2 linked regions of the Drosophila melanogaster genome follow. The protein of the gene in region 1 purifies or fractionates together with the protein of each later gene. This does not show direct contact. Each region holds a gene or a part of one and is shown in the gene's direction. Other genes may lie near its edges. The genes, in order: Atu and muc.

Region 1 (4,950 bases):
GCAGTGCAAAAGGTGTACAGTAAAAACAGTTAACATTGTAAAATACAAAGCTTTATACCTTATCTCCACTACTGGCCAAACCACTACCGAGTTAGTCGAATTTCGTTTACTTCACTACGAAAGCTCCAGTTAGGTTTTGATGCTGCTTGCTAGTACCATAATATGTAAATAACCCTTCCTATGGTAAAGACCGGCTTTATCTTATCGAAACTTCAACGTGCGCTGAACTCGCCTGGAATGCAAGATATACTAGCACAGGATGCCAGTGCATTTAATTTGAAAGGAGCAAATCTTCCTGGAATACGGGAGCTGTCGATTAAATTGATGTTTTACCTGCACGCATGTAACTTTATCAGCTGACCTAACAGACGCTTCCCAACACTGGCGACCGCGCTTACAACAAAATTCAATGGCTAGCGTTAACTCTGGGGACAAGTGTTTAACCAACCATTTAACCTCGGGCGATTCAGCAAGTACAAAATAAGAACGACGGATCCGAAAGGAGGAATGCGCGCAACTTACCTAAATTAACGTTAGACGATACTGTCGCTTCTTGTTCTTCCACTGTTAACGCTCGCTTTCCACTCTGTCCAGCAACAACAACATACACTGATCGAATCGTTCTCACCGCATTTAACATTCCAAAGCGGCCGGCGGGACGAGGACGTAGGAGTCGTTGTCCTGGCGCCGTAACCGTAACTGTGACGGATCACGGATCGGCGAATCAGCAGGAATATGAAAGTCCGCTAACTCCCACTGGGCAGCTGTTGGTTAGCTGTGGGTGTCTCGGTCACTAGCACTCACTCGCTGGAAGCTGAAAGGATGCAACGGAGAAACGGGAGCTGGAACCGTAGCGGGTGTAGGAGCGGGAACGAGGTTAGTTAGTACTTTTCCGCGCCGAGTCGTCCCTAAATAAATGGCATATATACCGCTGTGCGTGTGTGCATATGTATATGTGCCTCGTCTGTATGCAGCGTGGTCTTCGTGCCGAAGAGACAGCGAGCGAGAGAGAGAGAGAGAGGAGAGGAGAGTCGAAGGATGTTGATGCCTGGCGGAGGCTAAAAGTTGTCCGTTTTTTCTGCGCCGCTCTTGCGACCACTGTAGTTTCTATATTCACGCTTATGCAAATGTCGCGCACGTTACACTCGGCCGATTGGATTGGCCAGGGCTCTCGCTTTTTGTTAATGTTTCCGTTTTGTATTTTATTTGTAAGTAAATAATCGCTCGCTATTGCGCTGTTGTCTCTGCTTCTTACTACACTGCTGCACAAGCACTGTGTCTGTGACCCTGTGCGTGTGTTTGTGTGTGTGTCTGTCTTTGTTTTCTCAGTTCATTGAAATTTCACCCGAAGCAGCGAATTGGGCAAATTCCCTGCTAGATTTGCGCGTCTTTTACGCCGCCGACCCGCAAATGCACTCGAACTTAATGGAGCCGGGTCCTTACGATCCACTATCGAGGGGCAGTAAACAATTCTTTAGCGCCCGAAATGGCTTTAAATTGTACACAAAAAATGTTCCGCAAAAAACTTTGTGGCTGTCACGAATACAAACACACAAGAATTAGGGATGTAAAAATCTGCTATCGAGACAGCGTTGGTATCGATAGTAGTTAGTTTGCAACGAGAGGGTTTGGTGCATTGATTACTGTATATTTCAAAGAATATTCGAATTGTTTTCTTTAAAGACAACAATTTTATTCGCCTTTGCGATTGGTAAAATAGTTGTTTACTTTTAATCGATAGACAAAAACAGTTATTGGGCTGCCATCTGGGGCGTCTATGCGAAGACCTCTTTGCGTATTTCAGTTATCGATTACTGTGACAGTGCCTAGACCTCCTAAACTCAACTTTATTGCCCGGCCGCGAATTGTCTTGATTGCAGATTTTCCGATTTTAAACAAAATTTACTTGGCATTATGGGCAGCCAAAACTCGGACGACGACAGTGGTGAGTGGCTAATGGCTAAGTCCAGGCCTGAGTAACTAATATTTACACTGTTCACATATGTATGTAGGTTCATCCGGTTCGAGTCGAAGTGGAAGCCGCAGTGTCACGCCGCAAGGAGGTAGTGCGCCCGGGTAACTATTTGATATTCAAACACGGCGGCGGGAGAGTGCTGATTACCTTCCCCTCGTTTTCCAGATCCCAACGCAGTCGCAGGTCGGGTAGTGGCAGCGATCGTTCCCGATCGGGCTCCAGGTCTTCCCGATCCCGGTCCGGCTCTGGGTCTCCGCGTAGTGCCAGGTCCGGGTCTGCAGAAAGCCGCCACTCGCAGCTGTCTGGCTCCGCTCGTAGTAAGAGATCAAGATCTGCTCACAGTCGCAGGTCGGGATCTGCGCGTAGCCGTAAATCTGGAACTCCGGAATCTCCACAAAGTCACAGATCAGGTTCGTTGCAAAGTCGCAAGTCAGGATCGCCTCAGAGTCGTAGATCTGGTTCTCCCCAAAGTCGCAAATCGGGATCTACTCACAGCCGCAGATCCGGTTCGGCCCACAGTCGCAGATCGGGATCCGCTCGGAGTCGCAAATCTGGTTCGGCACAAAGTGACCGCTCTGAGTCTCGATCGAGGTCTCATAGCGGTTCACTCAAGGGCAACGAGGAATCGCGGTCTAATTCGCCCAATCTGCAAATTGACGTAGAGCGTGCCAATTCCAAGAGCGGCAGTCGCAGCAGAAGTAGGAGCAGGAGTGGCAGTCGCACTTCCAGATCGCGTTCCAAGACGGGCACGCCGTCGCCCAATAGAAGTCGTAGTGGCAGCGCATCCGGCTCCGGCAGCGATGTGGGTGTGCCCAAGAAGAAGGCACGCAAGGCGAGTGGCTCCGATCAAGAGAAGAAAAAGAGCGGCAGCGATAGCGACATTGAGGAATCGCCCACCAAAGCTAAGAAGTCACGGCTGATCGACACTGATAGCGATTCCAATCAGGATGTGGTAAGGCACACCACTCTGAACTACTCAACTATATTGTTATTTATCTAGTTCTATAATTAAGGAAAAATTACCCTGATATATGTACATTTCAATTATGCAGGGAAAGAAAGCTCCGGCTGCAGCTGACATATTTGGAGATGCCGATGATATAAGTGACGATGAGGATGAGGCTGGACCAGCTGCCAGAAAATCCCCAGTGCGCTCCAAGAGCCGCAGTCAAAGCAAGTCCCACTCCCACAGTCGTTCTATGAGCCACTCGCGTTCCCGCTCCAGATCGCGATCCCGGGATAAAGTCGAGAGCCAAGTAGAATCGGCGCCCAAGGAGGATGAGCCTGAACCGCTTCCGGAGACCCGAATCGATGTGGAGATTCCGCGCATCTCTGCAGACCTGGGAAAAGAGCAGCACTTTATCAAGCTTCCCAACTTTTTGTCAGTGGTCACGCATCCGTTTGATCCGGAAACCTACGAAGACGAGATCGACGAAGAGGAGACAATGGACGAGGAGGGCAGACAGCGTATCAAGCTCAAAGTGAGCAACACTATCCGATGGCGAGAGTACATGAACAATAAGGGCGACATGGTGCGCGAGTCTAATGCGCGATTCGTGCGCTGGTCCGACGGCAGCATGTCCCTTCACCTGGGCAACGAGATCTTCGACGCCTACAGGCAGCCGCTGTTAGGTGACCACAATCATCTGTTCGTCCGCCAAGGAACGGGTCTGCAGGGCCAGTCGGTCTTCAGGACCAAGCTCACTTTCCGTCCTCATTCCACGGAGTCCTTTACGCACAAGAAGATGACCATGTCGCTGGCCGATCGATCCAGCAAGACCAGTGGCATTAAGATTCTTACGCAGGTGGGCAAGGATCCCACCACGGATAGGCCAACGCAGCTCAGGGAGGAGGAGGCCAAGCTGCGCCAGGCGATGCGCAATCAGCACAAGTCGCTGCCCAAGAAAAAGAAACCAGGCGCGGGCGAACCACTGATTGGAGGCGGCACTTCGTCTTACCAGCACGACGAAGGCAGCGACGATGAGAACGCCATCAGCCTGAGTGCCATCAAGAACCGGTATAAGAAGGGCTCTGGTGCCGGCCAGGCGGAGGTTAAGGCATCTACGATCTACTCGTCGGACGAAGACGAGGGCTCCGACTTCGAGGCGCGTCGCAGCAAGAAGGTGGACAAGGCCAAGGCCAGCAAGGCACTGCGCGACTCCGACAGCGAATCGGACGCCGGCAGCGCCAAGAGCGGCCACAGCAACAAGAGCGGCGGAGAAGGGGGCAGCGCTAGTGGTAGCGAAAACGAGGGCAGCCAGAAGAGCGGCGGCGGCAGCAGCAAGTCTGCCAGTGGAAGCGGCAGTGGCAGTGGTTCCGGCAGCGGATCGGGCAGTGACAACGATTAACAACGATTAAGCTAGTTCAAGTGCGTTCCTTGATTACACCAATAAAAGTAATTTTCAATTTTCACGCGCTGAATTCGACTTTGCTTAGTTAAGCATCTTGCAAATTTAGAATTACTCTATTATTTATTTATACAAAAAGGCCAAGTGACGACATATGAGGTTTGCGTACCCAAACTTCAGTCTTTTTATTACGAATTGTTGTAGGAGTCGTTTGGTGGATTATTTGGAAGGATTAGTTGCTAAATGGGAAATAAGCTGTTGTGCAGTTTTTTTGTTTTTTTTTTTGTTGTTTTGGGTCTCTTTTGCTATTTTGTCGGCGCTTCGATGTGACTGTAGAACCAGATAGTTTCGATTTCTGGGAAGTGATTAGAGACGGTTTCTGTAACGCTACTTAAATTAGATTTCATTCAATGTGGATGGATAAATCCAAAGAGCAGCAAATCTAAAAACAAAAAAGTACGTAAAATACGTACTATTTGGAAGTTATTTTAAAATTTTCTTTTCTCTTTATATAGTTTATAGCATTCGTTTAAATTTGATCAAAATATAGAGGTGTCTTTTAGTAAATTTTTCGCCATCACCAAGTAGCGACCTTCAAATATCCATTATTTATTGGCCGAAAGTCAG
Region 2 (5,866 bases), on another chromosome or scaffold:
AGAATATCAAGGGTCTGCCGAACGAAACGCAAGGAAAAGAGAATTTGCTGAATGAAATGTAATAATTCGCTGACGGATGACGTCACGTCCTATGTGGTCATTAGCACTCCAGTGGCGCAACCAGGGGGCCAATACTACGCTCCGAAATAGTTGGTAAAACCTTTGACAATCAAACCAAATTAATTCACAATTTTCAGCACTTGAAGAATGGAAGACAACAAAGTGAAAAAACCCGCAAGTTGAATCTAGATACGCCCCTGGTTCCAGTTTTCTGCTCTCATATGACTAATTTTGGCATTGTTATTGCATAAAATTCGCATGGCGTCATCATCATCAACGCGTACAACTACCAAGCTCGCAAAGATCGTTAACCCCAAAGCGACGGAGACCTAATACCAGGCACAAGGTCGACTCCCGTGACCCCCTCCCCAGAAGGGGGTCGCCATTCGCTGATGCAGTTTTGTTGCCATGCGGCGGCCAAACATCTGTCTCAGAACTGCAAATGCTGAAAAAAAAACCTGACTGGGCTTGGCTTGGACTGGCCTGGCTCTTCATCTTCAACTCCAGCCACCACAGTTCCTACTCGTTATATGTGATGATGTTCCCCCGACTGTAAAGTCTCCTACCTTGCGCGCTAATCAGTGACCGGGGCTGGTTTTTTATATACAGTCAGGTACCTGAAGTAGCGCGCGTGGTGGCAGACATATATCTCCATCTTCACCATATAAATAAGCGAAATGCTCGCAGGCGAGTCCTCGCCAGAAATCCCATGTGTATCAACTGTCTCCCATGTCTATTGTACTTCATCAGGTGCTCTGGTGTGTCTCGTAACCCGGCACATGTTGAAGTACACTCAATATGAGGCGATTTGCATACGAAAGCGACCGATACAAGTGTTCAACAAATTGCCTAATTTAAAGATGAGTAAAATATAAAAGTACTCTTTTTATTAAGTTTTTCTTAAAAATAAAATTATGGCTTCTTAAAACTGTGTTACTTTACTTTAATTGGAATCATATCTTTCACAAAGGGAACAACAAAAAATGATTATTGTTATAATCATTATATTTAATTTAATGAAACGAAAAAACATCTGTTAATGTGACTAGAAAAAATTTCAATAATATATTGTCTGATTTATTCAGTCGTCCAGTTTTGTATTTTTTTCCATGCGAGCTCCTCAAATTTCCAAACAGGTTGTGGGCTTTGGTATAAAAATAGATTGTTTATGCTCCGGAATAAATAATAACAAACCGTCCATCATCTATAATGACATTTTATTTGCGTATATAATTTCAGAGAATATTCTACATAAGAAAGTATTAATTGAATGAACTACATATACATATTTAGATAGACAAAAACATTCTTAAAATATGAGCTATTTATATATAAGCATTTTCGTAATTAGTGAATAGTGTGCATGGTGCATAACAAACTATCGAATGTCTACAAGCACGAGTAAAGTGTGACCAGACGCCTCACCGCACTCATTCCCATGCACCATTTTGTAAAAAAGCCAAATTTCCAATTGGAAAATTAAAACATCTTTTTAATATCGTTGCTTTAAAAAAAATCAATTGAATTTAAAACGGAAATGAAAATAAGAATTCAGCAAAAGATTTCGAGGTAACTAACAACAACTTCATAAATTGCTGGGTCATATGAAAAAATATCACAAAGGAGAATCTCCTTTCAAAACACTGTGATACCTCTGTCAAACATTTCGTGTACGTTTTTTGAAAATAAATTCGCTGAACCGCTAAAAAAAGTGATGGTATGTTTCGGTATATTGAATACCGCTTGCACATTTTTTGGCGTTCCGTCTGCGTTCACACTGACCTCCGTAAGGTTATCGGCATAATTTTGTAAATTTTCGACTTTGCCGTTTTTCGACTCGATTCGTTAGTCAAAATTCCGAAAGACGCGCCGCCGTTAGATCCACTTCATCAACGCGCGTTGCCACAACAGGACTTGGATTAGGATTCCCCAGGCAGACCAACGATAAAGGACGAATATGCTGCGCTCCCTTGCAACAACACGAAACGAACTTGGGGCCCTTCGCTCCGTGCTCCTGCGATCGAATAACGCCACCTATGTCCGCCGATCGACGGGAAATGTGGTTGTGCGCGCCCTCAGCAGCCAGCTGATCAACTCCCGGAAACTCCAGAGCATCAGGTAAAAATCTCCCAATTTCCCCAATTCTCCCCGCTTTCGTTGAGGTTAGAAATGGTTGTGTAATATTGCAAAATGCGTATACTGCAGCGGGATTATGTGGGACCTGTGGGGGGCGATGATTGACAGTCCCGTGTCCAACTATTTAGCATATATGTCGTATTCCCCAAAAACACTCTCACACATACCCATGCGATTTGCGTGTGTTGTGCGTGCTCCACTGCTGATTTGGTTTATGGCCAAGGTCGAATACACGCTCTCCTATATCGCATGATGCGTGATAGTGTTTCGGCTGGCTGATAAGCTAGAAAATTCCGTCTAATGATTTAATGGGTCACTCTTTTTGGGTTCCATTGTTTACATCTGACGAGTGGGCGATTGAACGCCTAAATGTGTAGATAGTACAGGAGTGTGGGTACGTAAACAACAACAAACTAACAGCTGATCGAGCGTCCATAAATTAACCCATCCAAAATGCTTTCATTAACATGGTCATTTTGTAATTATAACAGGTCATACAAAATGTACACCGTTACGAATCAGAAGGAAAAATAGTTTCCAAGGATTCTGTATACCCATATTGCAAGTAATACACCTATACTATTTATTCAATATTATGTTTTCTAATAGTGGATACAACCCAATGCAACCAACTTTAATAAACTAGTTTTGTTTGAATATCGCGCAGGTCGAAACTTAACACTAGCCAGTCACCGGTCACATGGAGCTACAACTTCGCCCGTGCCTATGCCAACCTTCCGGAACACATCAGGGTGCCACTGCCCGCACTTTCCCCGACTATGGAGCGCGGATCGATTGTCAGCTGGGAGAAGAAGGAGGGCGATAAGCTCAACGAAGGTACGTGTGATAGTTACCAAAATATCCGAGTTTCAGGATCAAATTTATGACACCCTGATTGCAGGTGACTTGCTGTGCGAGATTGAGACGGATAAGGCCACCATGGGCTTTGAGACGCCCGAGGAGGGCTTTCTGGCTAAGATTCTCATCCAGGGCGGCACCAAGGACGTTCCCGTTGGCCAGCTGCTGTGCATTATCGTGCCGGACCAAGGCAGCGTAGCTGCTTTCGCGAACTTCAAGGACGACGGTGCCGCCGCAGCACCAGCTGCTCCGGCAGCAGCTCCAGCTCCAGCACCGGCAGCAGCAGCAGCTCCGCCACCACCACCACCACCCGCCGCAGCTCCAGCAGCCGCTGCGCCTCCACCAGCTCCCGCCGCTGCTCCAGCTGCAGCAGGTACGGGCCGTGTATATGCCAGTCCCATGGCCAAGCGACTAGCCGAGGCACAACAGCTGCGTCTACAAGGTTGTTTAATCCTAACTAATGCCTCTCTTACACACATCCTGTTCCATTTCGCAATGCATGCATCACCTGACTAACATCCATCATAATCATTCGTTACAGATAACAAAACCTCCCATATACACTATCCAACCGTACAGCTTTTCATATAGCGCCCTTTGTCCAATTGTTCCGTTACTAATCCGCGGCTTTTGTGTGCAGGCAAGGGCAGTGGAGTCCATGGCTCAATTAAATCTGGTGATCTTGCAGGCCAGAAAGCAGCAGCCAAGCCAGCTGCTGCGGCACCTGCCAAGGCCCCCAGGGCAGCTGGAGCGCGCTACGAGGACATTCCGGTGACCAACATGCGCGCAGTGATTGCCAAACGTCTGCTGGAGTCCAAGACACAACTGCCTCACTACTACGTCACCGTGCAATGCCAAGTGGATAAGGTGGGTTATCACGAACAGATATACTTCTTAATTCAAATTTAATTTAAATGAAATTTTTACAGCTGCTGAAGTTCCGCGCGAAGGTGAACAAGAAGTACGAGAAGCAGGGTGCCCGCGTCTCTGTAAACGACTTCATTATCAAGGCCGTGGCCATTGCCAGTCTTAAGGTTCCCGAAGCGAACTCCGCCTGGATGGACACAGTAATTCGCAAGTACGACGACGTCGATGTTTCGGTTGCTGTCTCCACAGACAAGGGTCTGATTACCCCGATTGTTTTCAATGCCGACCGCAAGGGTGTCCTGGAGATCTCTAAGGATGTCAAGGCGCTGGCAGCCAAGGCGCGCGACAACAAACTTCAGCCCCACGAATTCCAGGGTGGCACCATCTCGGTTTCTAATCTGGGCATGTTCGGTATGGGAAATACAGTTATATAAAGCCTGGTCCAAATTTGGTAATTAATATGTTATCCTACCACAGGTGTGAACCAGTTTGCCGCTGTCATCAACCCTCCTCAATCGTGCATCCTTGCCATTGGCACCACAACGAAACAGTTGGTTGCTGATCCCGACAGTCTCAAGGGGTAAGTTTCAAATAAGGAGAATAGTACACTAACTAATATAATCTTTTTTTCTATGCAGCTTCAAGGAGGTCAACATGCTGACGGTCACCCTGAGTGCTGATCATCGTGTTGTGGATGGTGCTGTTGCTGCCAGGTGGCTGCAGCACTTCCGCGACTACATGGAGGATCCTTCCAATATGGTATTGTAAGCGGACAGAAACGACCCATCACATTTAGAGACTCCAACGAAAACAAAAAAAGGATAACAAATTTAGCATCCTCTCTTTAAGCGAGGAGTTTCAATCGACATGCAATATGTGGATATGTGGTTTCTAATCGGTGTCACATATGTAAAGTTTTAAATTGGATTTAACTCATCGGTCGCCTATATATATATATATATAGAAATTAAATTGTGTAATTATTGATGTAGTTATTGATGGTCACCGTCGTTGCCATGATTGTAGAAGAGTACACAAAATACTTGAATGATATTCGAATTAACCCACTCACCGAGCTGTAAATTTCCGTTTGATATGCAAAACGTTTTTTATGCTTTGTTCGCATATGTTGATCATGATCGAGTATGAAAATGGAAGTAGTTGAAAGTCCAAAGACGCGTTAAATAAACCCAAAACACTCACATGAACTAGCCAATTCTTAAATAAAATTGACTTTTATTTTAATTATAGTGTGTTTCAGCCTAAATTCAAACCACGATGCCTCCAAATTTAAAACATTATCTGATGGGTGTTGCATATATCAACTTTTAAGCTTTCTAGACAGTAGCTAGAGTAACAAAACTCTATTCAGCTCAAATTTAATGCTCTCAACACCCAGTCGAAAAATAATATACATTGCTTTTCCGTGGTTTATAGTATTATGTAACTAGTTTATTGCCAAAATGTTACGAACTAAGCAAACACATATTGAAAGTATTTACAAGCATAAAGTTAAGCTAATGTCAATGTAGGATGCGAATGTCAGTGTAGTATTGAAATGGGGCCAATCACCACTGGGCAGGGCCAAGCTGGCTCCACTCCTCCACATACTGGGCCTGCTGCTCCAGAGCGGGGAACCACTCGACGCCACCGTAGTCGATCGCGGGCAGAGTACCCTTGTAGTTGGCGGGCAGGACGGAGGGGTCGAGGAACTTCTGCAACGACTTCATGTCACTGCCGTGGAAGTGCATCTGTTGGAAGAAAATTATTCAATGATATATTGTTATTAATATTCATTTAAAAGGAGGGGGAAATCAGTTATGTCTAATTAATATGGTTTATATAACTTGGTTATAATTGTAAGAATCAGGTATTTTACGTTACTGATAAGATTCATTCTTCCAATGAAGAGAAATTGTAGCCTACTTTTGAGGGCAGAAGGACA

The links.
Region 2: the proteins of Atu (region 1) and muc purify together in Drosophila melanogaster (affinity purification with mass spectrometry, with the first as the bait; one large-scale study listed by BioGRID). This does not show direct contact.

Annotation. Positions count from the first base shown.
Region 1 is NT_033777.3:5,611,548-5,616,497, forward strand, and holds Atu (another transcription unit), read left to right. Parts: upstream 1-1,810; 5' UTR 1,811-1,914; coding exon 1,915-1,945; exon of another isoform or gene 1,946-2,012; coding exon 2,013-2,076; exon of another isoform or gene 2,077-2,140; coding exon 2,141-2,927; exon of another isoform or gene 2,928-3,027; coding exon 3,028-4,323; 3' UTR 4,324-4,392; downstream 4,393-4,950.
Region 2 is NT_033779.5:7,425,184-7,431,049, forward strand, and holds muc (midline uncoordinated), read left to right. Parts: upstream 1-1,682; 5' UTR 1,683-2,017; coding exon 2,018-2,178; intron 2,179-2,544; exon of another isoform or gene 2,545-2,590; intron 2,591-2,687; exon of another isoform or gene 2,688-2,761; intron 2,762-2,863; coding exon 2,864-3,033; intron 3,034-3,097; coding exon 3,098-3,496; intron 3,497-3,694; coding exon 3,695-3,921; intron 3,922-3,983; coding exon 3,984-4,332; intron 4,333-4,398; coding exon 4,399-4,501; intron 4,502-4,559; coding exon 4,560-4,689; 3' UTR 4,690-5,146; downstream 5,147-5,866. Other genes in the region: CG5958 (uncharacterized protein), read right to left, coding at 5,490-5,672.